4 linked regions of the Anolis sagrei genome follow. The main gene of each other region encodes a partner of the protein of the gene in region 3 in a complex. Links are inferred from orthologs where the notes say so. Each region holds a gene or a part of one and is shown on either strand. Other genes may lie near its edges. The genes, in order: NSMCE2, non-structural maintenance of chromosomes element 3 homolog, NSMCE4A and NSMCE1.

What was found.
Region 1: NSMCE4A (region 3) and NSMCE2 share a complex: the UniProt entries of both Homo sapiens proteins name them as parts of the SMC5-SMC6 complex. The link is inferred for Anolis sagrei from reciprocal best matches to the Homo sapiens genes NSMCE4A and NSMCE2.
Region 2: NSMCE4A (region 3) and non-structural maintenance of chromosomes element 3 homolog share a complex: the UniProt entries of both Homo sapiens proteins name them as parts of the SMC5-SMC6 complex. The link is inferred for Anolis sagrei from reciprocal best matches to the Homo sapiens genes NSMCE4A and NSMCE3.
Region 4: NSMCE4A (region 3) and NSMCE1 share a complex: the UniProt entries of both Homo sapiens proteins name them as parts of the SMC5-SMC6 complex. The link is inferred for Anolis sagrei from reciprocal best matches to the Homo sapiens genes NSMCE4A and NSMCE1.

What each region holds. Positions count from the first base shown.
Region 1 is NC_090024.1:19,390,615-19,398,269, forward strand, and holds the start of NSMCE2 (E3 SUMO-protein ligase NSE2), read right to left. Parts: upstream 3,020-7,655; 5' UTR 2,847-3,019; intron 1,435-2,846; 5' UTR 1,421-1,434; coding exon 1,288-1,420; intron 1-1,287. UniProt on the Homo sapiens protein: E3 SUMO-protein ligase component of the SMC5-SMC6 complex, a complex involved in DNA double-strand break repair by homologous recombination. Is not be required for the stability of the complex.
Region 2 is NC_090022.1:172,853,828-172,860,668, forward strand, and holds the start of non-structural maintenance of chromosomes element 3 homolog, read right to left. Parts: upstream 3,004-6,841; 5' UTR 2,939-3,003; exon of another isoform or gene 2,889-2,938; intron 334-2,888; 5' UTR 318-333; coding exon 273-317; intron 1-272. UniProt on the Homo sapiens protein: Component of the SMC5-SMC6 complex, a complex involved in repair of DNA double-strand breaks by homologous recombination. The complex may promote sister chromatid homologous recombination by recruiting the SMC1-SMC3 cohesin complex to double-strand breaks.
Region 3 is NC_090023.1:200,308,096-200,315,425, reverse strand, and holds the start of NSMCE4A (non-structural maintenance of chromosomes element 4 homolog A), read right to left. Parts: upstream 3,006-7,330; 5' UTR 2,871-3,005; coding exon 2,702-2,870; intron 1-2,701. UniProt on the Homo sapiens protein: Component of the SMC5-SMC6 complex, a complex involved in DNA double-strand breaks by homologous recombination. The complex may promote sister chromatid homologous recombination by recruiting the SMC1-SMC3 cohesin complex to double-strand breaks.
Region 4 is NC_090034.1:22,524,850-22,532,822, reverse strand, and holds the start of NSMCE1 (non-structural maintenance of chromosomes element 1 homolog), read left to right. Parts: upstream 1-4,971; 5' UTR 4,972-5,027; coding exon 5,028-5,136; intron 5,137-7,973. Other genes in the region: IL4R (interleukin-4 receptor subunit alpha), read right to left, coding at 1-397, 592-653, 762-831, 947-1,040, 1,772-1,922, 2,057-2,208, 4,488-4,642, 4,715-4,896. UniProt on the Homo sapiens protein: RING-type zinc finger-containing E3 ubiquitin ligase that assembles with melanoma antigen protein (MAGE) to catalyze the direct transfer of ubiquitin from E2 ubiquitin-conjugating enzyme to a specific substrate.

The sequences.
Region 1 (7,655 bases), on a different chromosome or scaffold from region 3:
TTCACTTACAATCAAAGAGCATTCGGAACCCCACCAACAGTAGAATTGGGCTAAACATCCCACACAAAACTCGGCACTATAAAAGAGTTTTGCGAGACCTGTCGCAACAGTGTAGTAATGGTGAGGCAGCGGACCGTATTTTAGTCCTTGTGGACCACTGGTGGTCCACAGACCACAGGTTGGGAACCACTGCTGTGGAAATTATTTTTTTCTGTTTTGGCCAAACTCTCTCACTCAGAAAGGGGAGTTCGAGTTCCCACCAGATTAAAGATGGATTAAAGACCTCACAACCTCTGAGGATGCCTGCCATAGATGCAGGCGAAACGACAGGAGATTTATTTATTTGTCGTGTCAGAGCAGCCAGTCCATTATATTACATTTCTAACATAACAAAGCAAACAAACAGAAAAATACACAACTTGTGACTTTGGTAGCTGGTTAAATGTCCTTTGACCAGTATCTGGCCACTTGGAGTGCCTCTGGTGTTGCTGCAAGAAGGTCCTCCATGGTGCATGTGGCAGGGCTGAGGGTGCATTGCAGCAGGTGGTCAGTGGTTTGCTCTTCTCCACACTCGCATGTCGAGGATTCTACTTTGTAGCCCCATTTCTGAAGGTTGGCTCTGCATCTCGTGGTGCCAGAGCACAGTCTGTTCAATGCCTTCCAAGTCGCCCAGTCTTCTGTGTGCCCAGGAGGGAGTCTCTCATTTGGTATCAGCCATTGGTTGAAGGGCTGGGTTTGAGCCTGCCACTTTTGGACTCTCGCTTGCTGAGGTGTTCCAGCGAGTGTCTCTGTAGATCTTAGAAAACTATGTCTAGATTTAAGTCATTGGCGTGCTGGCTGATATCCAAACAGGGGATGAGCTGGAGATGTCTCTGCCTTGGTCCTTTCACTATTGGCTGCTACTTCCCGGCGGATGTCAGGTGGTGCAATACCGGCTAAGCAGTGTAATTTCTCCAGTGGTGTAGGGCGCAGACACCCCGTGAAAATTCAGCATGTCTCATTAAGAGCCACATCCACTGTTTTAGTATGGTGAGATGTGTTCCACACTGGGCATGCATACTCAGCAGCAGAGTAGCACGGCGCAAGGGATAATGCTTCTGGAACATGGCCATACAGCCCTGAAAACTTACAGCTACCTATTGATACCGTCCATGAAAGCCTTCAACGACACATTAAAGATGGATAGCGCTCATTTCTTTCCCTGAGCATTCCAGGACAGATAGGAAACCCTGAGAAGTGATTGCAGCAAGAATAAAGCTATTTGTTCAAAAAATGAGAGAAACTCACTGCGATTTTCCACAAGGTCAAAAGCAACCTTGGTAGCCATCTCCATTCCGGTACTTATATAGGACTGGCAGTGTTTCAGAGAGGAAAGGCATGTATCCACGCCGGCAAAGGAGACCACACTTTGGCTAGACATTCTGGTCTAATTTCCTGGGGGAAAAATATATGTATTATTATTATATATTTGTATTCATTTATTATATTGGCATCCCACCTTCCTCCCAACATGGAACCCAATTAGAACCTGTGACCTGTCGGTCTTCAGTCCTGTTGGCACAGGAGTTTAACCATTGCTCCACTGGGGGCTCCATAATAATAATAATAAATATAAATAAAGCTGACACAATATGAGGATTTAAAGATCGAACTGCAGACTCTGGCACAAGCCAGTCAAGGTGGTCCTGATCAGCGATTGGCACACTGGGTGCAGTGCCTAAAGACCTTGGCCTGCACTTAAACACAATCGGCACTGACAAAATTACCATCGGCCAGCTGCAGAAGGCCACCCTACTGGGATCTGCACGCATTATTCACCAAGACTAGACACTTGGGAAGTGTCCGACGTGTGATCCAATACAACAGCCAGCAGAGTGTCTACTGTGGACTCATCTTGTGGTGTTTCTAATAATAATAATAATTAAACACAATCGGCACTGACAAAATTACCATCGGCCAGCTGCAGAAGGCCACCCTACTGGGATCTGCACGCATTATTCACCAAGACTAGACACTTGGGAAGATGAGTGTCTACTGTGGACTCATCTTGTGGTGTTTCTAATAATAATAATAATTAAACACAATCGGCACTGACAAAATTACCATCGGCCAGCTGCAGAAGGCCACCCTACTGGGATCTGCACGCATTATTCACCAAGACTAGACACTTGGGAAGTGTCCAACGTGTGATCCAATACAACAGCCAGCAGAGTGTCTACTGTGGACTCATCTTGTGGTGTTTCTAATAATAATAATAACAATAATAATAAATGTAACATTAATAAACAGAACTGCAAAGACTCTGTGACAAGCTAGAAAAAGGTGGTCCCAGTGGTGATTGGCACACTGGGCGCAGTGCCTAAAAACTTTGGCCTGCACTTAAAAACAATCTGCACTGATTGAATACAAAAGCCAGCATACTGATCTTGTTCACTGTGTACCAATCTTGTTGTGTTTCTAATAATAATAATATTTCCTGTGTGTGATCCAATACAACAGCCAGGAAAGTGATCTTGTTCGCTGTGGACTCATCTTGTTATGTTTCAAATAATAATACATATTATTATTATTATTATGTTGATTTATAGCCCACTTTTTCTCTTATAATTGTGAAAGTCAAAACTATTTCTCTCTTTGCTCAAACTAAACATTTGCTGGCATAACTAGAACAAGTTTTGGAAGGAATGCTGTGTCCAAATACATTTGGAGGAGTTGGGGGAGTTTTGCAAGGTCTTTAGCTGTTCAAAGAGCAAGAACTCCTGGTTAAAGCGGTGCCAAACTGCGTTAATTCTGCAATGTAGATGCATCCAAGCTTCCATCCAATCCACCCAGCAGCAACTTCTTACTTTGCAAAGCCTTGGCTCTTGGGCTGCCTTTCCTTTTTTTAATTTTTGCAGGGAGGCGCAGGGCTTAGAAAAGAAGGGGATCCCTTTGCTCCCTTTCTCTGGGTCTCTTTCCACTGCTGGATCCGGATCCAGACACCCATTTGCTCTTGAAAAGGAGGAGGAGGAGCCTGTCCAAAAGGGAAGCGGATCAGCATCACCCAGAGCCTGGTTCACATGACCTGAGAAAGCTCCCATGTGATGCAAGGCGAGAGGAAGAGGCTGCTGAATGGTGGGTTTGCTTTCTCTTCTTGCATTTTCTCTGGGTGTTTCCTGCAAATTCCAGGCTGAATTCCAACCTCTTGTTTTTTTTCTGCTGCTGGAAGAGGATCAGGTCAGCTGTTTGCATTTTTGGGAGAAAGAAATAATTATATAACAAAACAAAATTGGAGGTGGAGGGGGGAAAAAAGAGGAAGGGATTTGTTTACTATCTTCCTGGTAGAAAGAGAGCTTGCAAGGTCTATGCAGGGCAATGAAAAAGGACTGGGGAGGGTTGGTTGGGAAATAATTCCCCATTAAACTGGTTGGTTATTGACACCAGGGGTGGGTGGGTGCAGCTATACTATAGAATTAATGCAGTGCTCTTACCTACAAGAAGCACTGCCTGAACATCAATCAAAAAGTGGGTGCTAGAAACAATATCATACGAAAGCTGACTGGCACAACCTGGGGATCACAACCAGATACAGTGAAGATATCTGCCCTTGCGCTGTGCTACTCGGCTGCTGAATATGCATGCCCAGTGTGGAACACATCTCACCACACTAAAACAGTGGATGTGGCTCTTAATGAGACATGCCGCATTATCACAGGGTGTCTGCGCCCTACACCACTGGAGAAATTACACTGCTTAGCCGGTATTGCACCACCTGATATCCGCCGGGAAGTAGCAGCCAATAGTGAAAGGACCAAGGCAGAGACATCTCCAGCTCATCCCCTGTTTGGGTATCAGCCAGCATGTCAACGACTTAAATCTAGAAATAGTTTTCTAAGATCTACAGAGACACTCGCTGGAACATCTCAGCAAGTGAGAGTCCAAAAGTGGCAGGCTAAAACCCAGAACCTCAACCAATGGCTGATACCAAATGAGAGACTCCCCCCTGGGCACACAGAGGACTGGACGACTTGGAAGGTGCTGAACAGACCGTGCTCTGGCACCACAAGATGCAGAGCCAACCTCAAGAAATGGGGCTACAAAATGGAATCCACAACATGCGAGTGTGGAGAAGAGCAAACCACTGACCACCTGCTGCAATGCAACCTGAGCCCCGCTACATGCACAATGGAGGACCTTCTTGCAGCAACACCAGAAGCACTCCAAGTGGCCAGATACTGGTCAAAGGACATTTAATCAACTACCAAACTCACAAATTTTGTATTTTGTCTGTTTGTTTGCTTTGTTCTGTTAGAAATGTAATATAATTGACTGGTTGCCCTGACACGACAAATAAATAAAGTGCAGTGGGTCAGTGCAATGGGATCCTGGGCGTTGTAGTTTGGTGAGGCACCAACACACTTTGGGACAGAAGACTTGTAAAATGACAATTCACTTGATGCCATAGCATTAAGGCAAGGCAGTTAAATCTGCATTAATTCTACAATGTAGACGAACCCTAAAATGCCCCAGCTGGTAGGTTAAGGTAAAGGTTTCCCCCTGACATTAAATCCAGTCGTGTCCAACTCTGGTTGGCGCTCATCTCCATTTGTAAGCCAAAGAGCCAGCGTTGTCCATAGACACCTCCAAGGTCATGTGGCCGGCATGACTGCATGGAGCGCTGTTACCTTCCCACTGGAGCAGTACTTATTGATCTACTCACATTTGCATGTTTTCGAACTGCTAAGTTGGCAGAAGCCGGGGCTAACAGCGGTAGCACACCCCACTCCCCAGATTTGAACTGCTGACCTCTCGGTCAGCAAGTTCAGCACTTCAGCAATTTAACCCATTGTGCCACTGGGGCCCCCAGCAGGGAGGTTGTATAATTAATGCATATTATTATTAATATTATTATTATACACTTTATTATATATATATATATATATATATATATATATATACACACACACACATACATAATGCATTATATATAGATACACACACACACCATGGTGGCGCAACAGGTTAAACCATTGAGCTGTTGAGCTTGCTGACCTGAAGGTTAGCAGTTCAGCTCCTGCTGTCAGCCCTAGCTCCTGCCAACCTAGCAGTTCGAAAACATGCAAATGTGAGTAGATCAATAGGTACCGCCTTGGCAGGAAGGTAAATTGGCGCTTCATGAAGTCATGGCTACGTGACCAGGAGGTATGTATGGACAACGCAGGCTCCTCAGCTTGGAAATGGAAATGAGTACCTCCCCGCAGAGCCAGAGATGAGCACTGCCTCCAGAGCCGGAGATGAAAGGGAAAGCCTTTGCCTTTGTATTTGTGTTCCATTGTGTTTCAGAGGTATTGAATGTTTTTCTGTGTCTGTTTACATGCTGGAATCTGCTTTGAGTCCCCTCGGGGAGATAGGTTATTATTATTATTATTACAATATATTATTTATTATTGTTATTATTATTGCACACTTACCTTGTTACATCATCTGTTCCCAGACCTATACAGGTTCCTTACTTCCCAACATCATTTAGACAACATTATAAAAATGCAGCTCTTGTCCGTTCTATTCTAATTTCACCCATTGCATATATTGGTTATTCTAATATATTTACTAATTGTTCATCCACGTCTTTCTTGGTTGTTTGATGTTCTGAATTTGCCATTACTTTTGGATATGAAGCAGGTGAATGGTGTCCACTTGTTATCAAATAGATCTTTTATTTATCTTTTTGCTAATCTTAATGTATAAGTTAACTTTTCTGATAGGGCTATAACTACAGATTTCACAATTCCATACTATGTAGCTGCAGCCTTTAAGCCATTTCAGGTTGCAGAATTCAACTGATTGATTCCTCAGTGCCTCTCTTCTCAGGCACCTAACATACTACAGATCCCAGAAGACCTTAGTGTAGAACCATGAGAGTTAACATGGAATGAAACTTGTATAACTGCATAATAACACACTTTCTCTTATGTTGAAGCATGGTAAAAGAGGTTTAGTATGCAGAAAGATGGTGAATTAATGCAACTCCAGTATGGGTGCGGATGGGAAGTGGCTTGCCTTAGTGACAGGAAGAGAAGAAATATTGAGCAATATTGGTCAGACTCTCATTGGGAAGTAGTTGGTAATAATAATGATAAATCTTCAAGGCACATGTGCTTAAAACAAATTGGAAATTATACAACCTTCTATTTGTTTATTTATTTACTGTATTTGTAAACCGCCTTTCTCAGCCATTCGGTGACTCAAGGCAGTTTCCAACAAATTAGTACATATAAAAACATAATACAGATTAAAACATTAAACAATATAAAACACCACAAAAACAATAAAAACAACATCATTAGCGTCTCATTATCAAGCATTGTCCAGTTCCATTGTCAAATCGTTCGATTTCCTATATTAGCTACTCTGCATTGGTAAACACTTTCTCAAACAGCCATGTTTTAACTTGCCTCCGAAACGTTAAGAGGGAGGGAGCAGATCTAATCTCCCTAGGGAGGGTGTTCCATAGCCGAGGGGCCACCACTGAGAAGGCCCTGTCTCTCGTCCCCACCAAACGTACTTGAGACGAAGGCGGGACCGAGAGCAGGGCCTCCCCAGATGATCTTAGAGTCCTCAATGGTCCATAAGGGGAGACAAGTTTGGACAGGTAAGTTGGGCCAGAACCGTTTATGGCTTTATAGGCCAAAGCCAGCACTTTGAATTGGGCCAGGTAGCAAACCAGCAGCCAGTGGAACTGGCACAACAAGCGGGTTGTATGTTCCCTGAGCGCTGCTCCTGTTAGCAACCTGGCTGCAGTTTGTTGGACTAGTTGAAGCTTCCGGACCGTCTTCAAAGGCAACCCCACATAGAGAGCGTTGCAGTAGTCTATTTGGAATGTAATCAGAGCGTGGACTACCGTGGCCAAGTCAGACTTTCCAAGGTACAGGCGCAGCTGGTGCACAAGCTTTAACTGTGCAAATGCTCCCCTGGTCACCGCCGAAACATGAGGTTCCAGGCTCAGCGATGAATCCAGGATCACACCCAGACTGCGAACCTGTGTCTTCAGGGGGAGCCTAACCCCATCCAAAACAGGCTGTAACCCTATGCCTTGTTCGGCCTTGCAACTGACCAGGAGTACCTCTGTCTTGTCTGGATTCTATTTCAGTTTGTTTGCCCTCATCCAGACTGTCACAGCGGCCAAGCAGCGGTTCAGGACCTGAACAGCCTCCTTAGTAGTTGATGTTGGACTACAACTCTTAACATTCCTCACCACTGAATATGCAAACTAGAGTTGCTGGGAATTGCAGTCCAACCATATCTGAAAAGTATAATGATTCCCACTACAATATAGAATTAATGCAGTTTCACACGACTTTAATTGTTGTGGCTTAATGTTGTGACATTGTGGGAGTTGTTGTTCTACAAGGTTTATTTTTAGCCTTCTCTGCCAAAGAGTGCTGGTGCCTTACCATACTACTACTAATAATAATAATAGTAATAATAAAAACTTCATTTATACCCCGCCACCATCTCCCCAAGGGGACTTGGGGCGGCTTACATGAGGCCACGCCCATCAATACAGTAAAAACAATATAACACAAAAACACAACAGAAAATTAGAAAATAAAATAACGTAAAATACAAAACCAATGTAAGTAAACAACACAACAATATAAAATCGAAATATTAAG
Region 2 (6,841 bases), on a different chromosome or scaffold from region 3:
GTGTGTGAAGTTGAAAATACTACAGGTGTTTTGTACTATGATATCACACCTAAATACAGGAAAGATCTAGCTCCATCTTCTGTCCTGTTTTTCTCTCTCAGTGAAAACCTGTACATATTGTAAGTATTGCATTAATTTTATGGGGTCAGGATAAACTACACATGAATTAAACCACACTACAAAACAACGGACACACGTTGTGTTGTTTGTAGCCATCTAGTTTCTTTTAAGAGAGGAATGCGGGATATAAATAAATAAGACAATAGTAATACCTGAGAAGGGCCAGGTCCTTTACTACTACGCCTGCTCTGTGACATCTTTCTGATGAGTTATCTGTAAAGGACAGGAAGAAAATGTTAGGTCAGATTATTTATTTATTTAGCCATATTTATACCCCACTTTTCTCTACCCCAGCAGGGAGACTCAAGGCAGCTTACAATGGCACATACACAGTGCCTCAAAACAACAAATTCACCATAAAATAGTTTAAAATTACAACATGTTTAAAATGGTTAAAATATACTCAAAGTTAAAAACACGCCATCCAGAGTTCATTCCTTGGTGAAATTGCACATAATTCTATATTTGGAATACTGCATTGTCCTAATTTTCAAAGCCTGCTTCCAGAGCCAGGTTTTGACTCTCTTCTTGAAAGCTAGTAGGAAGGAGGCTGATCTGATATTGCTAGGGAGGGAGTTCTAAAACCAAGGGGCCACCACTGAGAAGGCCCTATCTCTCATCCCCCACCAGCCGTACTTGTGAGACAGGCAGGACCGAGAGCAGGGCTTCCCCAGATGATCTTAGTCTCCAAGCTGTTCGTAGGGGAAATATACATTCGGACAGATAACCTGCTGATGGGGAAATCGTGTATATTTCTGTCTCTCAGCCAATAATAATAATAATAATAATAATAAACTTTATCTATACCCTGCCACCATTTCCCCAACGGGGACTCGGAGAGCTTACATGGGGTCAAGCCCGAACAACAAACTACAATACAAAAATACAAACTGCAGTAAAATAAACAACATAACGTTAAAGTGTAAAACATCAAAACATATAAAACAATATACACTGAACATAAAAATCAAACAGAGAATGGGCCGCATATACATAAAATGATTTAAAAACTGCGGGTGAGATAAGGGGGCAGAACTAATTGGAAGGGAGAGCTCACAGAGATAGGAAAATAAACAAACCTTCGTACAAAGGGGGGGGGGGCGCTCCTGGGACAAGAACATTGAGGGAGCAATTTCATAAAATTATGTGGCTACTCTCCAAAAGAGCAACGGCAGAGCCAGGTCTTAAGACTGTAATTTTTAAAGGTTTCTAACACAGGGGCTTTCCTGATCTCTCCGGGCAATGAATTCCAGAGTAATATTGATTTTAAAGATCAATTCCTGAAACCAACATTAAAACCTGGAGCCTCTTTCCCCTCCCACAGACTGGGCTTCTCGAGTTGGTTTTAAGCCCCTCGCTTGCTAAATTTCAACCCAGGAGCAACCATGTTCAAATATGTAAGACCAGCTAGTTCTGGAAATTTAGAGTGTATCCACACTGTAGAATGAATGCAGTTTGGCACCACTTTGACTGCAATGACTCAGTGCTATGGGCTCATGGGAGTTGTAGTTTGGTGAGGCACCAGCACGCTTTCATAGAATCAAAGAGTTGGAAGAGACCTCATGGGCCATCCAGTCCAACCCCCTGCCAAGAAGCAAGAATATTGCATTTAAAGCACCCCTGACAGATGGCCATCCAGCCTCTGTTTAAAAGCTTCCAAAGAAGGAGCCTCCACCACACTCCAGGGCAGAGAGTTCCTCTGCTGAACAACTCTCACAGTCAGGAAGTTCTTCCTCATGTTCAGATGGAATCTCCTTTCTTGTAGTTTGAAGCCAGAAAACAAGCTTGCTCCCTCCTCCCCGTGACTTCCTCTCACATATTTATATTCATTTATTTATTTATTACAGTTACTTTTACCCCACCCTTCTCAACCCCCTAGGGGGGGACTCAGGGCAGCTTACAAAAAAGGCACTATTTGATGCCTACATAGAGTACATATACATATAAAACAACAATCAGCATTTATCACAATTAAACAGTTAACAATAACACAATCATTAAAAACTAATCACAAACTCAGCATGCATTGTCCAGATTCCCTTAATTCCATTGTGTATGTCAATTCCATTCTATTGCCACGTCCTTTTTCATCTGCCAGGTTGTCTGAATGCCTGATCCCAAATCCACGTTTTCAACTTTTTCCTGAAGGAAAGGAGGGATGTCGCTGGTCTAATTTCCCCTGGGAGTGAGTTCCACAGGTGAGGGGCCACCACCGAGAAGGCTATCATATACATGGCCATCATATCTCCTCTCATCCTTCTCTTCTTCAGGCTAAACATGCCCAGCTCCTTAAGCCACTCCTCATAGGGCTTGTTCTCCAGACCCTTGATCATTTTAGTCGCCCTCCTCTGGAGGGCGACTAAAATGATCAACACATTCCAGCTTGTCAATATCTCTCTTCAATTGTGGTGCCCAGAATTGGACACAGTATTCCAGGTGTGTCCAATTGACAGTGAAGACCTTGTAAAACTACAACTCCCAGGATTACAGATCATTGAGCCATGGCAGGCAAACGGCATTTATTCTATGGTTTAGAGCAGGCCTGCAGAACTTGTAGCTCTCCAACTCCCAACTCCCAGAAGCCCTTGCCTGGCTATTTAATGGTTTGAGGCCTGCTCTAGATGCACCCAAGGCTTCTAGTTTTACAGGGACATTAGCTGTTTTGCCACAAGGTGCTGGGGCCTCACCAGACTACAAATCCCAGGATACTATACCACTGAGACATAGCAGTATTGTCCTGACTGCATCCCAACCCTCCAACAACTTGCCTAAATGCCCAGAGAGCCACTTTCCCGCCTTCCTACTCGCTGATACTAACCACCAGGACTGCCGCCGGTTTGCGCATGCGCACGCTCTATCACCCGGACTTCCTAGTGCGCATGCTCCTTCGATGATAGAGGAAGTTCTGATTAGTTTTTTTTCCTCCTGAGAGGAAAAAAACAGTGCGCATGCGCGTTTTAACTGCAGACCCTGGCAAGGAAAATGGCGGGCGAAGGTGGGAATGATGTCTCTCCTCATAAATCACTCAGTTTGAGCCTGGCATAAGTTTCATATATAAGGGCATTCTCTGCCTATTCATACGCTGTGGGTGGGGGAGAAAAAAAAATGGCCACATTATACTGTTACAGCGCTATTCTATTAATTGCCATGTCAACCACCTGGGATTTGTAGTTTAGAGCGGGACCCTGGCAAAACTACAATTCTCAGAATTTCACAGCATGTTCCCCGTGGCAGTTATGGGGTTTTTATGAATGGAAAACGAAAAATAGGGATATATTTCTAGTTCCCTAAATGGATATAAACAATAGGAACATTTTATCTAAATACAGGGTGAGGCAGCATAACTTCTTTTTCGAAACTTAATAAAACCCATTGTATGAATCAGAATTAATAATGTAGGTGCATACCTAAAGTTTTGTTTCACGTAGTTTTGAAGATCAAATTAAGTAGGTGACGTCCCCCATTCTCCATTCTCCATACACTGAGTAAACTGATTTCTGGCGTTTGTCATGACTCTTGCCAGCGTTATGTTGACAATTTTTTCCTGGATGTTGGTCTTCAAGTCTTGTAGGGTCCATGGACGGTTCACATAAACAGGATTTCAAAACACCCACAGAAAAAAATCACAAGGGGCCAAATCTGGAGAGCGGGCCGGCCACTCCAAATCCGCTCGAAAAGTAGGCCTCAACGGCAAAAGCACGCTCCTCGCTGTTCCAACGCATGATGGCGACTGAACTGTGTCAGGACAAAACTTTATACTCCCGTCTCTTGAACGAGACCACTAGCGCTCTGCTACGTCTTTAACCGACTGAATGGCGCGCATTTTTTAAAAAGTTATGCAGCCTCACCCTGTATATAAAATTATGGAAGCAACCAACTGTACCAATGACAGATGGTTGGATTCCAAATGTTTTTGAAATGGCTGAAGTGGACAAATTAATTTTACAACAAACTAATTTGCACAAACGGCAAGAAGAATGGAAACCTTTGATGGGCTTTGTAAAAAATAGTAAGATGATCATAACAGGATTTGTGAACTACAAATAATATGAGTAATATATGACTTACTTAGGCGATCCCTCGTCCGAGGATGATGATCCTCCAAGTATAGTATCCTGAGGGTGGGTCCGTAGGTGACTATGGAGCCCAATTCTTGCTCTGCGTCTTCTCCTGCAGTGAGGGCATTGGTTTCCAGGTGGAAGGCAGTCCCGGTCGGGGTTGGCTTGCGGCACCTTCCTCTTGGTACATTTCTCTCTTTCACCCTCCATTCGTGCCTCTTCAAATTCTAGAGCACTGCTGATCACAGCTGACCTCCAACTGGAGCGGTCAAGGGCCAGGGCTTCCCAGTTCTCAGTGTTTATGCCAGAGTTTTTAAGGTTGGCTTTGAGCCTGTCTTTATATCTCTTTTCCTGCCCACCAACATTCTATTTCTGTTCCTGAGTTCGGAGTAGAGCAACTGCTTTGGGAGACGGTGATCGGGCATCCAGACAAAGTGACTGGTCCAGCGGAGTTGACAGCAGAGGACCATCGCTTCAATGCTGGTGGTCTTTGCTTCTTCCAGCACACTGACGTTTGTCCGCTTGTCTTCCCAAGAGATTTGCAGGATTTTTTAAATTTTTTAAAATTTTATTTTATTTAAGTAGACATACATTTGCAAGTGTTTGTTGCATACAGTGCAATACTTGTGCAGGATTTTTCGGAGGCAGTGCTGATGGAATCATTCCAGGAGTTGCATGTGATGTCTGTAGACTGTCAACATCTCGCAGGCGTATAGCAGGGTTGGGAGGACAATAGCTTTATAAACAATCACCTTGGTATCCCTATGGATGTCCCGGTCCTCAAACACTCTCTGCTTCATTCGTAAAAATGCTGCACTCGCAGAGCTCAGGCAGTGTTGAATTTCAGTGTAAATGTTGACTTTGGTGGAGAGGTGGCTGCCAAGGTAGCAGAAATGGTCAACATTTTCTAATGTTACTCCATTAAGCTGTATCTCTGGCATTGGAGAGGGATTGCCTGGTGACTGCTGAAACAGCACTTTGGTTTTTTCGATGTTCAATAACAGGCCGAGCTTCTCATATGCTTCTGCAAAGGTGTTTAGAGCAGCTTGTAGGTCTTCTGAATGTGCACAGAAGACATTGTCATCAGCATACTGGAGTTCTATAACAGATGTTGTTGTAACCTTGGTTTTGGCTTTCAGTCTTGCCATCTGTCCCATAGATGATTTCCACTCCGGTGGGAAGCTTCCCATCAACAAGATGAAGTATCATAGCGATGAAGATGGAAAATAAGGTTGAGGCAATAACACATCCCTGTCTGACACCTGCTTCCACCTTAAATGGGTCACTTTGGGAGCCATTGCTGTCCAAGACTGTTGCCATCGTGTCATCATGGAGGAGCCGCAGGATGTTCACAAATTTGTCAGGGCACCCGATTTTCTGGAGGATGGTCTAGAGAGCGCTGCGATTCACTGTGTCAAATGCCTTTGCGAGGTCAATGAATGCCATGTACAGAGGTTGATTTTGTTCCCTGCATTTTTCTTGGAGCTGTCGTGCAGTGCGGATCATGTCCACTGTTCCTCTGGAGGGGCGGAAGCCGTTCTGGGATTCTGGGAGGGTGTCTTCTGAGAGGGGTAGAAGGCGATTTGCAAGGATTTTTGCGAGGATTTTCCCAGCTGAGGTTAGAAGGGAGATACCTCGATAGTTTCTGCAGTTTCTTCTTTACAATATATGAATGGAGCCACTGATGGTGCAGCAGGTTAAGCCGCTGAGCTGCTGAACTTGCTGACCAGAAGGTCGGTGGTTCAAATCCAGTGAGCGGGGTGAGCTCTCGTCGTTAGGCCCAGCTTCTGCCAACTTAGCAGTTTGGAAACATGCAAATAAGAGTAGATCAATAGGTAGGAAGGTAATGGCACTCCATTCAGTCATGCTGGCCACGTGACCTTGGAGGTGTCTATGGACAATGCCAGCTCTTCAGCTTAGTAATGGAGATGAGCACCACCCCCAGAGTCGGACATGACTAGACTTAATGTCAGGGGAACCTGTACCTTTAATATATGAATATGTGTTGTTGAAGGCTTTCATGGCCAGAATCACTGGGTTGCTGTGAGTTTTCCAGGCTGTATGGCCATGTTCCAGAAGCATTCTCTCCTGACATTTCAGCCACATCAATGCTTCTGGAACATGGCCATACAGCCCAGAAAACTCACAGCAACCGAATATATGAATATATTCTGTATCCTAAAACTCAAAATATTATTAAACACCCTACCCCCACCCCTAATAAAAATGTTAATAGTTAGGGATTTATACTTTTCGAAGAGCAGCAAGCCAGATTGAGATGCAGCCGTGTCCTCTCTTTTGCATAAAAATCCCAGGCCTTCCCATCATCCCCAGACTTGTCTCTCTCTTCTATAAACTATATTTTATCCCACTTTTATTCCTATATATCTATTAAACGGGTTCTGTTTTACTTATGGGACAGAAAAACATTAACCTTTACCTGTCAGGAAGCAAATGATCCAACTATTGTTTCTCATTGAGAAATAACCCCAAAGTGTGGCTCAAAACAAAGGAGTCTGATCATTTCAATATTCTCGATGTGTGGTGGCCTGGAAAAAAGGAAATCTGCATAAGCTCATTATCTTCAGGATTAAACACCCAAAGACAAAAATCAGTAACTATCACATTTTTATCCACTCCTTGCTGTACAATTTTTATCCTTT
Region 3 (7,330 bases):
AAGCCCTAAACGGTTCCGGCCCAACTTACCTATCTGAATGTGTCTCCCCTTATGAACCTTCCAGGAATTTAAGATCATCTGGGGAGGTCCTGCTCTCGATCCTGCCTGCCTCACAGATGCTCGCTTGGCGGAGACGGGAGACAGGCTTTCTCAATGATGGCCTCTCGGCTGTGGAACTCCCTTCCTGGGGATATTAGATCGGCTACCTCCCTCCTGATCTTTAGGAAAAGAGTAAAAACCTGGCTCTTTGTGCAGGCTTTTGGAACCTCATTGTAACCAGACAAACTCAGTATTGCGAACGAATATGGACATGGATTTTAACCTGGAAGTCATTGATTTTTATAGTTTTAAATTATTTTTATATGAATTTCATTATGTGATTTAACCTGTTTTAAATGATGTACTTATGTGTGTTTGGCATCTAATTGTTGCCAGTCTGTGTGCTGCCCTGAGTCGCCTTCGGGTTGAAAAGGGTGGGATAAAAGTGTGGTAAATATTTACTTATTTATGACATTTATATGCCGCCTTTCTCACCCCGAAGCAGACTCAGAGCAGCTTACAAGATATAGATATATATACATACAATATATTATATTATTAACATAGTACAATATCAGTATTATATATTACTATATTGTACTATGCCATTATATTGTAATATAATAGATCCATCCTAGGAGAGAGAAAAACAGGAATAGCAACCCTTTCAGACTAATTACAGTTGGCCTTCCATATCCACATCATGGGATTCAACCATCCGGATTTAATTTTTTATAAGAATCTCAAAAGCAAAGCTTGGTTTTAATCATTTTACTACACCATTGTATATAATGGGCCTTTAGCATCCAAATTTGGGAATCTGAAGGGGATTCTGGAGCCCAGTGCCCTGAAAAAGAGAGCCATGGAAGATGCTCAGGTTTTCTACGGAAGGTTCTTTTCTGACGTTGACAATGTATGATGGCTTTAACTGCCATGCCCTAATGCTGTGGAATCCTAGAAGCCGTAGTTTTATACGGTCTTTAGCCTCGTACTGTTAATGTACTGTTACAAGGCCATTTTATTTCATCATTTTGGTGCTGAAAAGAAGATGCAGCAAATGATGGTTTCTTTTACTTTTGCCATTTTATATAAAGGGCACTATTTTACTCTGTTATATATACTAGCCATCCCCTGCAACGCGTTGCTGTGGCCCACATGGGGGTTCTGTGTTGGAGGTTTGGCCCAATTCTATTGTTGGTGGGGTTCAGAATGCTCTGTGATTGTAGGTGAACTATAAATCCCAGCAACTACAACTCCCAAATGTCAAAATCCCATTTTCCCCAAATACCACCAGTGTTCACATTTGGGCATATTGAGTATTCTTGTAGAGTTTGGTCCAGATCCATCATTGTTTGAGTCCACAGTGATCTCTGGATGTAGGTGAACAACAACTCCAAAAACAAAGGACACTGCCCACCAAACTCTTCCAGCATTTTCTGTTGGTCATGGGAGAACTGTGTGACAAGTTTGCTTCAAATCCATCGTTGGTGGGGTTCAGAATATTCTTTGATTGTAGGTAAACTATAATTCCCAGTACAACTCCCAAATGACAAAATCAATTTTTTGAGTGAAGGACATACAATGGGTTGTTAGGTGCCTTGTGTCCAAATTTGGTGTCAATTCTTCCAGTGTTTTTTGAGTTCTGTTAATCCCACAAACGAACATGGCCGAGTAGGATAGTCTTCAAGGATCAGTATTCTGGTGGGTGACTGTGGAGCCCTATTCTTGATCTGCATCTTCTCCCACAGTGAGGGCATTGGTTTCCAGGTGGAAGGCGGTCTCGATTGGGGTTGGCTTGACGTGCCTTCCTTTTGGCACGTTTCTCTCTTTCACCTTCCATTCGTGCCTCTTCAAATTCTGCAGCACTGCTGGTCATAGCTGACCTCCAGCTGGAGCGCTCAAGGGCTAGGGCTTCCCAGTTCTCAGTGTCTATGCCAGAGTATTTAAGGTTGGCTTTGAGCCCATCTTTAATTTTATTTTTTCCTGCCCACCAACATTCCGTTTTCCATTCTTGAGTTCAGAGTAGAGCAACTGCTTTGGGAGACGGTGGTTGGGCATCCGGACAACGTGGCCGGTCCAGCAGAGTTGATGGCGGAGGACCATCGCTTCAATTATGGTGGTCTTTGCTTCTCCCAGCATGCTGATGTTTGTCCGCCTGTCTTCTCAGATTTGCAGGATTTTCCAGAAGCAGTGCTGATGGTATTGCTGCAGGAGTTGCATGTGACATCTGTAGAAAGTCCACATTTTGCAGGCATATAGCAGGGTTGGGAGGACAATAGCTTTATAAACAAGCACCTTGGTATCCCTAGGATGTCCCGGTCCTCAAACACTCTCTGCTTCATTCGGAAAAATGCTGTGCTCGCAGAGTCCCCATTGGGGAGATGGTGGCGGGATATAAATAAAGATTATTATTATTACTATTCCAAGGAGTAATATAATACAGACTTGAAATGAATGCAGTTTGACACTTACATTTTCCAGGCTCAGTGCTATGGAATCAAATGGCTTTGTAGTTTGATGAGGCCCCAGCCTTCTTGGACAGAGAAAGCTAAAGGTCTTGCGAAACTACAACTCCCAAGATCCCATAGCATTAGGCCATGGCAGCCAAACCACATGCATCCCACAGTGCAGATGCGTGAAAGGTAGGGAAAGCCACACTTACCCTGACAGTTGGCGATCAGCTGCCGGTATTGCTGGCGGAGCAGCCGCCGCGTCGTCTCGTCCGTCTCCTGCCCGATGCAAGTCCTCCTTTCCTTCTCCGCCCCGCTCTTCTTCCTTGGGCTGCCCTTCTTCTCCATCTCCTCGGCAGGCCGGTCCTTCCCTTCAGCCATGGCTGCTCTCCCGCCTCGCTCGGTTATTTAACCTGCGACTTCCGGCGAGGCGGAACCTTAGAGAAAGGGGCCCGAGAGCCAAGCGGACGTTTGATGCCACGGAATGAATAGGATCCAATAGCACTTCCGGCTAAAGTGAAACCAGCGGCTGGATGGACGTCGCTCTAGAGTAGTAACTCTATGTTCAAAACTTAGCCTCTCTGTTGTATATTGGCGCCTCTTCATTGGCTGCAAGAAAACAAACAAAAACAAAGGCTTGCCATCCCGTTGGAGTTGAAAGGCATAGAATTGTGTCACTACAGCAAAAACAATAGAAGACATAATCTCTCCCTATAAAAGTCAAAATATGGAATATTTGTATGTTTACATGTTTGTTTGTATATTTGAACCACAAAGGCTCCCTTAAAGCTTGGTGAATCTGGACCAAACTTGGCACACAGACCTATCCTGGCCAATTTAAAATACTGGTGGGATTTTGGGGAGGGGAGAAATTGACAGGATGATGGGAATTGTAGTCCAGCCACATCTGGAGCAATGTACGACTCCCACCAATAGTGGATCTGGATCAAACTTGGCACTCATTACTATCATTACCAGTTTAAATTACTGGGGGTTTGAAAGGATGATGGGAGTTGTAGTCTAGCCACATGCAGAAGCTGTGTAAATCCCACTAATAATGGATCTGGATCAAACTCAGCACACATAACCATTATGACGAGCTTAAACTACTGGCAGGGTTTAGCGGTGAATGACAGAGGATGATGGAAGTTGTAGTCCAGACACACATCTGGAGTGAATCTCAGTAATGCTTGGTCTGGATCAAACTTGGCACACATAACCATTATGATCTAATAAACTACCAACATGCTTTAGGGATCAATGATGGGGTGATGGGAGTTGTAGTCCAGCCACATCTGGAGGGCTGTGTAAATCTCACTAATAATGGATCTGGATCAAACTTGGCACACATAACCATTATGATCTGATAAACTACCAACATGCTTTAGGGATCAATGATGGGGTGATGGGAGTTGTAGTACAGCCACATCTGGAGGGCTGTGTGAATCTCATTAATAATGGATCAGGATCAAACTTGGCACACATAACCATTATGATCTGATAAACTACCAACATGCTTTAGGGATCAATGATGGGGTGATGGGAGTTGTAGTACAGCCACATCTGGAGGGCTGTGTGAATCTCACTAATAATGGATCTGGATCAAACTTGGCACACATAACCATTATGATCTGATAAACTACCAACATGCTTTAGGGAGCAATGATGGGGTGATAGGAGTTGTAGTCCAGCCACATCTGGAGGGCTGTGTGAATCTCACTAATAATGGATCTGGATCAAACTTGGCACACATAACCATTATGTCCAGCTTAAATTGCCAGCATGATTTGGTGTGTGTGTGTGTGTGGGGGGGGGGGGGGGGTTGAATGGCAGAGGATGATGGGAGTTGTAGTCCAGCCACATCTGGAGGGCTATGTGAATCATACTAATGATGGATCCGGATCAACCCTGGTATGCATAACCATTATGACCACCTTAAACCACCAATATGGTTTAGGAATCAATGATGGGATAATGGGAGTTGTAGTCTAGCCACATCTAGAGGGCTATGTGAATCATACTAATGGTGGATCTGCACCCAACTTGGCATGCATAACCATTATGAACAGCTTAAACTACCAATATTTTTAAGGGATCAATGACAGGGATGATGGGAGGTATAGTCCATCCAGATTCCAATGAGTCATGTAAATCCACCAACAATGGATCCAGTTCAGACTTGACACACATACCCTTCATGACCAACTTAAAATACTGGCAGGGCTTCAGGCAGACTTGACAGAGCATGATGGGAGTTGTAATCCATTCACATCCAGAGAGCCTTTCTTATGGCAACCCTCATAGCGATACTAGTCTAATGTTCAAAACATTATGCCAAGTTGGCAATGTGAATAAATGATATTCTATTATTTATAATGCTTGGGTAGCAAGATGTATAAGAGAACAATATAGCTGCGCAGACGACCCTCCACACTTGTGGAGGAAAATTTGTTTTGCTAATTCTTGAAAGCTATTTATTGTTCGGAGAGATCGATCAAAGCTGTCATAATTGTAAACACATTTCATGGGAAGAAAGCCCCGTTGAAAATTAGGCATTACTATTGTTGTTGTTTGTTTCCCCTTTCTCTTACAAAAAGGTAAACAACAAAAGGGGGGTTATAAAATTAGCAGAGATTAGGATAAAAGGACATACTGTATTCAATATAACTTGAAGTTGATTTAAATAATGGTTCTAGCTTTATGTATCCAGCAGAGGGAGATGGTGAACACACTTAATTAAGCCACCAGGATAATCTACATAAAAGAATCAAGATACAATGAGCCTCAAAGAAAATACATTTGTGATTTTTGTTTTTGAATTAAGGGTGCATCTACACTGTAGAATTAATTCAGTTTGACACGACTTTATAACTGACATGGCTCAAGGCAATGGAATCATGAGAGTTGTAGTTTTACAGGTTTTAGCCTTCTCTGTCAAAATGTTATGGTGCCTCATCAAACTACAGATCCCAAGCTTCCATAGCATTGAGCCACGGTAGTTAAAGTGGTTTCAAACAGAATTCTACAGTGTAGATGCATCCAAGGAGTATGTAACCTGATAATTCCTCCCCATTCTGTATTCTGTTGGTTAAAATCTGTTCCTTGTAACTACACTTGCTACGTAGGGCTGATTGGGGTAAATTGTAGGGGTGATAATGAAATATGATGTATATACTCAGCTTGATCAGTTTATCAGTTTTATCATGTCTTAACATATGTATTTACTGTATTATTATAAGTGTCTTATTTTAACTTTCTACGTGGAGTGTGATCAGGTCTTGTCAGGCCTTGTTGTTCTGTTTCTTATTGTGATATGGCCTAAGGGCTAATCAATAAAATTACTACTACTACTGTTCCTTGTAGCATCTTAGGGGAATCGATTTTGACATAAGGAATAGCTGTCAAGGAAAAGTAGAAAAGTTAATTATCTTTTTCCCACATAGCTTCTTAGGGAAGTGATTTTATTTTTTAAAAATAATTGGGATGGACTCATTAGCACATATACAGCATAATGATTCCATCGACCACATGAAGAAACATCCTGGCCTGAAACTGATTTGTTAGTTCCAATAAGAGCAGACCCATTTAATCAATTCTTGAATGGTAAAACAGCGCTTACATAAATCCCATACTCTCATCAAGACCACCCATAGGATAGATAAAAGGACATACTGTGTTCTATATAACTTTTAAATTTGTGCCAAAGGTAAAGGTTTTCCTTGACATTAAGTCTAGTCATGTCTGACTCTGGGGGGGGGGGGTGCTCATCTTCAATTCTCAGCCAAAGAGTCAGCATTGTCCATGGACACCTCCAAGGTTACGTGGCCAGCATAACTGCATGGAGCCATTACCTTTCCCAGAAGTTGTACCTATTGATCTAGTCACATTTGCATGTTTTTGAAGAGCTAGGTGGGCAGAAGCTGGGGCTAACAGCAGGAGTTCACCCCACTCCCCGGATTCTAACTGCCAACCTTTCAGTCAGCAAGTTCAGCTGAACCACCATGGGGCCCAAAGGAAGTACCCAGAGACCTTTTACTGCTGCAAAATGTTTCATGACTCTATGGTGTTCTAGATCACTAATAAAGATACAGGAGATTTTTTGTAGTTTTCAACTTTGAAACCCTAGGGGTTGCTACTGTGTGTGTCTAAGAGAAAGGTGGGATTATTTATTATGCATGGAGTCTTGTTGATTCTCGAGCAATGCCTTTTTTGGGAAAAGGACAAGCTGTTTAAATACTAGTAAACATTTATGATTTCCTAATTCTTCAATGGAAAGTATGGGGGAAGGAAGAGAAAGTTAGATTTTTTTTAATAGTATACATAGGAACCAGTGGTCAGATGACACTAAATTATGAAGGCTAGTTAATACTCCAGAGGACATGATCATAATTCAAAACAACTTTGAAAAGTTAGAGAGCTGGAGGGAAACACAATAAAATGAATTTCAGTAGAGAGAAATGTAGGGTGCTACACTCAGGCAGGAAAAATGAAATGCAGATATAACATGGGTGACACCTGGCTTAAAAACAGTATATGTGAAAAGGATCTGGGAGCCTTGGTAGACCACAAGCTACTAAATCATTTGGTGTGATACAGCAGCTAAAAGAAAAACCAATGTGATTTCAGAATGCATCAGTAGGAGTGTAGTGTCTAAATCAGTGGTTCCCAAGCAATGGGCCACAGCCCACAGGTGGGCTGCAAGATCTAAAATAAGGTCTGTGGCTCTAGATTATTAAATATGCTTTTCTGTGGGTGATCAGATGGTGACTACTGGATGGCATATGTTCTGTGTCAGAAACTTGAGCTGATGTGATCTATCCAATATAATTTTCAGAATCAGC
Region 4 (7,973 bases), on a different chromosome or scaffold from region 3:
TCCCACAGGATGTCCAGTTCCGGCCAGACTCCCCACAGACCCCACATTGACAGAGCCCTGGAAGCTGGGTCCGGGTGATGCTTCCAGAGAAAAGCCTATTGGGGCTCCCTGCTCTTTGGGAGGCAGAAGCTCAAGGACCCGGGCCTCTCCGCTTCCAAAGCCTCCATCCAGAAGGTCCCGGAAGAGGCCAGCAACTGCATCTTGGCGAGGGAGAATCGGCTCCTCTTCCTCCTGCTCCTCCTTGAGGAAACCCTCGGTCTTGGTCTCAGGCATGCGGCTGCAAACCACCAGAGGGGACTCAACCACTGCCACCTCTGGCATCAGGAAGGCCTTTGGTCTGGAGCCAGGGTCTGCCTCCTGGAGTACTGGAGGGACACCCTGGAGGCCCTTGCCAATTCTGTTTGGGGGAGAAAACACATAGACATAAGGCTCAAGTACTGTGCAGAACAAAAAAATCAGGTCAGGATGGGCTCCACCTGCCCCTTGATCATTTCCCATTGTCTGATGGGATCTTTCCTGCGACACCCTCCTGGCAGCAGGGAAGAATGGGATCAGAGACTTTTCACATCACTGTGCAGCTGATGAGCTCACCCTTTGCTTGGTCCTGGCAGGAGTGTCTTCCTTTTGTGTGGGATCTGCTTCCCAGGAGGAAACTGGAAGATTGAGGAGAAGCTTCAGGATGAGACATCTGCCTCAGACCACCCCAAAGGGAGCGACGCCGTTAAAGCCCACTCGCCCTCCCACCATGGGGCGGCTCCTACCTTGGCCAGGCTCTCGGCCATCTTGCTCTTGGCAGGGCTTGGGATCCGATCCCACCAGTCCCTTTTCACCCTGCAAAGCAAGTTCCACAAACAAACTTGATCCGGTGCTTGGCTGGAGGAAGAGGAGATAGCCTGACCACTTCTTTGGCCGAGGCTGCTTCTTGAAATCCCACTTTGCAACTCACCTGGCGAGGCAGAGGTAGCAGGTCAGGATCATGGCAACAATTGGGATGCAGGACCACAGCGCCAGCTTCCAGGGCTCCTCTCCTGGCTCAAAATCTAGAAGGCATATTTTACAATAGAATATACTGTTTTCACCAGAAATATTTTTGTTGGGACTGGTAAATGATATCATCAACAAGGAAAATATTGGGTTTCCCCCCCCAAAACCCACTAACAGCTGCTTGAATAGTTTATGCCAGACACTGGAAGGAAAGTATTATTCCATCTGTAAATGAATGGTGGACCAAACTGCTAAATTTTGCAGAAGTTGATAAACTAACTTGTCTTCTTAGAAATAAAATAATACAATGTTTTCAAAATAATTGGAAACCTTTTGCACAATATATAATTAGAACATTTAAAAACTGATCTACAAGAGTGTTGAGTGATTAAAAATACATGTTGTATAATTAGATCACTTTTGAATACATTTTGTAAAATTTACATATATATATTTATATGAATATACATTGCTTGATAGGACAAACTGTTGTAAGACGCCATCTTAGCGTAGGGTTGGGAAGTTTTCTTTTAAATGGGTTACGTGTGTTTTACTGTTGGAAAGTGTAAAATTACTACTGTTGACTGGTGGCTTTGTATATCAGTAGTTAGAATGTGTACACTTTGGAAATAATAATAAAATTCATTTTTAAAAAATCCGGAAGGCAAGACCCCCATCCCCCTTATCATAAGCCTCACTTTCCCCACATGGGCATTGGGAGGGGGAGGGGTCTCTTTGGGCAAATGAATAATAGGCAATGGTGCCCCTGCAGCCCGGAGGCGCTCACCATTGCGCCATTCATATGGCTGGCTCCAGTCGCTCCAGATGTCCCCCCAGTCTTCCAGCTTGACCTGGACCCTGGCAACGTAGTCAGAGGCAGACTCGAGGCGGTCGGCGAAGATGTCGTAGGTCGGCTTCTGGACGGTGGCACTGATTGCCTTGGAGGAAAGGGAGGCACAGGTTTTGGTGGAGTTCCAGCCCCAGGAGGGAGGGAGGCAGGACCCAGAGGGACTCTCTCACCCTCCGACTGGCCCTTCGCCTTAGGGCCAGTGGGGTCCACAAGGTCACCTACCCTCTCCAGTTGGCCCTTTGGCCAGTAGGACACCTGGAAGTAGGCCATGGCAGTAACCAGGGGGCTTTCCTTGGGGTAGTCCCACTGCCAGGAGAGGTGGAAGGAGCGGTCCTGCTTCGTAGCTGTCAGGTTGACCATCGGACGAGGCTTCACTGCAGAGAGGGAGGAGAAGATAAAGGGCCTGGGAAGCCCCTAAACCTATAACCTTATTGGTATCAAGAACCAGATTATTGTCCCTGCACCATGAGAGCAGCTGATCTACCTCATCCTGATAGGCAGGCTCCTCCCCTTCAGAGAGAAGAAGCCCCACCACAATTATGTCAGATGTAAATTTAGTAATGGTATTGTTATAAATGGGGTGGGGGCAGGTAGAACAGGATTCTCACCTGCCCTGCCTCCCCTTGGAACGTCTGCATGCAAAATACTGGTGGAGAAGGAGGGAAAAGGGAGGGAGAGGTTTCTCAGGCCTCTTGCCTGAATCCCAGGGCAGAGAAGGTTGAGATGGGTAGACTCTTCAACCAGAATCCCCCTTCCTTCCTCCTCTGTTTGGCTCTGCAGTGGTTGCTGCCTCTTTGTTTTCTGCTGCCTGAGCCTGGCTCCTGGATGACTCAGCAACCCATCCTTTCTTGACACTTTCTGTGGTTTCCGATGTTAATCGGCAATCCATCACTGCTGTTCAGCTTCTGTGGCCTGAAGCAATGCTTAAGTCACAGAATGCAAACAGCGCATCTGGGTTATCTCTCTGGAAGATATATTTATTTCTATTTATTATGTTTATTTAATATGTTTATTGGAGTTCTTGACATCCCTGGCCCATTCTCTGTTTGGATATTGGCCAGCATGCCAATGACTTAAATCAAGAAATGGCTTCCTAAGATCTACAGAGATACTTGCAGGAACATCTCAGCAAGCAAGAGTCCAAATGTGGTAGGCTAAAACCCGGAATCTCAATCAGTGGCTGAGTCTGGATGAGAAACTCCCTCCTGGGCACACAGAAGACTTGGAAGGTGCTGAACAGGCTGCGCTCTGGCACCATGAGCCAACCTTAAACAGGGCTACAATGTGGAGTCCATGACATGCAAGTGTGGGGGAGAGCTAACCACAGACCACTTACTACAATGCAGCCTGAGCCCTGCCAATGGAGGACCTTGTTATAGTGACACCAGAGGCACTCCCAAATGGCCAGCTTCTGATCATAATGCCAAGATTTTAACTTTGTTTATGGTTTTTAATACTTTATAACTGTACTAGCTGTGCCCTGCCACGCGTTGCTGTGGCCTTTAGTAAGAGTTTTGAAGTCTCTGCCTGGCCTCTCTTCCTTCCTTCCCTCACTCTCTTTCCCTCTTTCTCTCTCTCACACTCCTTTCTCCCCCCCCCCCCCCCCCCTCTGGCATCCCTCCTTCCTCTCCCTTCTTTATGCTTGTGTGTAAACTTGAGCATTTTCTGTTGGTCATGGGGGTTCAGTGTGGCATGTTTGCCCCAATTCTGTCGTTGGTGGGGTTCAGGATGCTCTTTGAGTGTTGGTGAACTCTGAATCCCAGTGACTACAACTCCCAAATGTCAAGGTCTATTTCGCTCAAACTCCATCTGTGTTCATATTTGGGCGTATTGAATGCTTATGCCAAGTTTGGTCCGGATCCATCACTGTTTGAGTCCACAGTGCTGTCTGGATGTCGGTGAACTACAACTCCCATACTCAAGGTCACGGAGGGAAGGGTTGGGGCGAAGGGAGGGGGCGTGTCTTTCCGGAGGGGGAGGGAGGAGTGAGTCAGGGAGGGAAGGGATGGGGGTGAAGGGTGGGGGCGACTTTGAAGACAAAGGTGGGGGGTAAGATGAAGGAGGGGGTGGAGGGAAGGGGGTGGAGGGAAGGTGGCGGGGGGGAAGTTCCGTTGTTTGTGTGTGTGTGTGTGTGTGGGCGGCGACGTGTTCGTGCTGGGCGGGGCAAGGGAGGGAGGGAAGTGCGGAGGGTGCGTTGGCCGTTTGGCCATGTGAGCGCGCGCGCTGGGGACTTTGCACCAGTGCGCATGCTCAGTTGTTTTGCCGTTTTTTCTGTGTGTGGTTGTGTTGTTTTCAATTTTGAATGGATTAGTTTGTACCGAGTGGGTTGTCCTTGGGGCATGGCAATTTTGGTGCAGTTTCGTTGGGGGGTTGTGGAGTTTTGCTGTCCCGTTGAACCAACCTAACAGATTTATATATATAGATTCTCAATTTGCTTCTGACACGATAAATAAACTGAAGTTGTTTTATCGGCTGTTAGGGATTGTGGGAGTAGAAGTCCAAAACACCCAGAGGGGCCAAGTTGGCCCAGGCCTGCCTTCAGCCCCAGCTGCCAAGGAGTTGTCCTTGGTTCTGCCTGGCTTTTTCTTTTTCAAAGGGCGAGGCCCCTTGAAGGCCAGCACTTCCGGAAAGAGAGGGGCCCCTTCTCCCTCACCTAACTCTTCGGCATTCGGCGTGGCGTTCCAGGCGATCTTCCACCGGGCGCCCTCCCTCTGCTCCAGCTTCAGGCAGAACCGAACGTAGCGGAAATCCTTCCTGTGGAGGAGGCAGCGGCACCGACCATCTTCTCGAACCGGAAGGCAGGTCTCCCTGGGAAAGGAAGGGGGAATGATGAGGGGTCCCACCCTGCGCGCATGCGCACTCGAGGCAAGGCCTACCTACCGCGGGGGCTCGACGAGGAGGCGGAAGTCGCCGCAGTCGGAAGAAGGGGGCACCTCCCAGGAGCAGGTCAAGGCCTCAAAGAAGTCCGTGTGGCAAGACGGGGCGAGGGTTGACGAGGAGGAGGCGGTGAAGAGGAGGAGGAGGAGGAAGAGGCCGAAGGGCCCCGGAGAGGTGGACGCCATCCTCCCTTCCCTCCGCTGGGCATCTCTCTGAGGCAGCACAGCAACGGGGGAGGGGCGGGGGGGGGCGGGGCGAAGGCAGTCCACTTCCGCTTCCTCCCTCGGAGGCCTCCTCCCCTCCTCCTTCCGCGGCCATGATGACGGAGGCGCACCGGCAGCTGCTCCAGGCGCTCCTGGGGCTGGGCCTGGTGGAGGCGGAGCGGGCGCGGAAGCTGCAGCGCCTGGCTTGCGAGGCCCACCGCGGTGAGAGGAGGAGTCATGTCGAAACCCAGGTGCATTGGGTTGCTGTGAGTTTTGTAGGCTGTATGGCCATGTCCCAGCAGCATTCTCTCCTGACGTTTCGCCTGCATCTCTGGTTAATGAGTTTTTTAGAGGTTCTATTGGCAGTGAGGCAAATGGAGTCAGGCCCGTAGCCAGAAAAAAAAATGTGAGCGGTTGAATTTTTCCCCCACCCAAGATGTCTTTTTAGATCAGTCTCTCTTCAACAACAAGGCCCTTTGCATCATTAAGCAAAGGTTCTTCACAGGGGTTTTTCTTCCATGTCAGGAGCGACTTGAGAAACTGCAAGTCGCTTCTGGTGTGAGAGAATTCGCCGCAGGCAAAGACCTTGCCCAGGGTTGCCCGGATGTTTTGATGTTTTACCATCCTTGTGGGAGGCTTCTCTCATGTCTCCGTTTGGAGAGCTGGAGCTGACAGAGGGAGCTCATCCACGCTCTCCCCAGATTCGAACCTGCCACCTGTCAGACTTCAGTCTTGCCAGCACAAGGGTTTAACCCACTGCGCCACCGAGGGCTCCCTCTTCACAGGTAATAGGTCCTGAATCACGGTTCTCTCCTTAAGCCCGTTCTTGTCTGCTACAAAGGACAATAGTTTCCACAAAAGGCAGATTTTTTTTCTGTTTTCTTGTTCTTCCTTCTGATTTCCTTTCTCATCAAGACATTTTCCACAGTGAACGAGGAAGGGTTTTTTAGCCAAGCACAAGTTGTTCTGATGGTACTCTGTTTTTTGGTGTCTATTGAAGATGTCTATTGCAATTTCCCATCACACAAATTGTCTAGCAACCAATACACCAAGGTTCTGATGACCACCTTTACTTCCAATTTCTCCTCCAAGCACCGCACCGTACTTGCAGAGTGCACCTTGTACATGACATGAATAGGCTAACCAGGGAAATCTGCTGAACCATTTGGGTTGAAATGGACCAGTGGTGGACACCCGTTTCCTCAGTTTTCACCTGCAATCCAGGTCAAATCCCCCCGCCCACAGTCCCACACCTTAAGCTTTGCCTGGTGGCTACCACATTTTGGCAGCTTCCACTATGTCAAATATTGCTGCTATTGCAATGTAAATTGGTAGAAAGCTAGGTATTGATAGTGTGAATAATCAAAATTGCATTGAGATAGTGCTTACAGTTCTGGAGAGACTCCCATTTCTGCTTTTCATTGACTTGGCAGGAGGATTTGGTTAATCAGTTAAAATTCATGAGTAAACCTGGTTGGTTTTTTTTACCTGAAAAATTTTGGGGGTAGTTGAACCCCTAAACTGCCCCCTTGGCTACAGGCTTGGCCATGTCCCTGCAGCATTCTTTTCTGACATTTTGTCTGCATCTGTGCCCAACATCTTTAGAGGTTCTGTTTTCAGTGAGGCAAGTGAAGCTTACATATATTACAGATCCCACTCCCCCTGAAAGACTGTGTCCGCAGCTTGGGATTCTCCTGGATCCGTCTCTCCAAATGTCAGCCCAGGGAGATGCGACAATAGTCAGAGGGCTTACTACTAACTTTGGCTGATCTGACAGCCGCACCCCTTTATAGATTTGGTGGACCTGAAGATGGTAGTCACCTTAAGGTCAGACTTCTGCAGTGCATTTTACATTGGACTACCCTTGTACCAAGGTCAGATACTCCAGCTGATTCAAAATATGGCAGCCAAATTCATTATGGAAACATCTAGAAATGAGCATATTACACCTATTCGAAAGTCACTCCACTGGCTGTCAATTAGTTTCCAGGCAAAGTACAAAGTGGTGGTACTTTGGACCCAATATCCCTCTGGCTGGTGACAGCAATCGGGGTCCCTAAGCTTCCCTCTGGGGCTCCTTTCCTGGGCATTGGGCTTGTGGTTGCTATGGCTGGTTGCCTTCAAGCCTCTTCTGACTGAGGGTGACACCAAAACAAACCAATCATGGGGCCCTTGACAAAGGGGGGGATGCTCTGAGGCCCTCTCCTACCCATGTTGTAGCCATGCCTGGCTCTGCTTAGCTCCTGAAGCCAGGCATGAGAAAGATGTGCCATTCTTGGTTCCTGGTTTGGTGCCACTCAGTGCCTCAATGCTTTTTGGTCCCTCTTTTTGCACCTCCACTCAGTGCCTCTGTCACTGTTCAAAATGCTGGACATCACAGCCTTGTCTGTATTCCCACCTCCTTTAAGGTGAACTAAACCATCTAAACTGGGCTCTACAGGCTAATGGGTATGCTATGACAGAGTAAAGAGAAAGATCCACTTAGAGGGAAAGTGTTCTTACCATACGTCAAGGGAGCCACTGACTGCATAGGGAAGCTAATGAATCTACAGACAACCCAAAGACCTACCAAGAACATTCAACAAATGCTCCATTCAGCAAAGGACAAGAGGGGTCCTCTAACTTCTGCAGGAGTCTACTGCATACCATGCTGTTTTGGACAAGTCTACATAGGGACCACCAAACACACCAATGCCCAAACACGAATCAAAGAACATGAAAGGCACTGCAGACTACTTCAACCAGAGAAGTCAGCCATAGCAGAGCACCTGATGAACCAACCTGGACACAGCATATTATCTGAGAACATTAAAATGCTGGACCACTCTGACAACCATCTGCAAGGCTAATCAATACTAATCAAGCTAACTAATTGCAAAATTTAAACACTTGCTTCAAACAGAAAAGAGTTTTTCCTCACACCCTGGACACCCCACAAATATATATATACCCCTCTTGTCTCATTCCCACATACCTCCAATCAAACCTCTGAGGATGCCACCCACAGATGCAGGCAAAACGTCAGGAGAGAATGCTTCTGGAACATGGCCATACAGCCC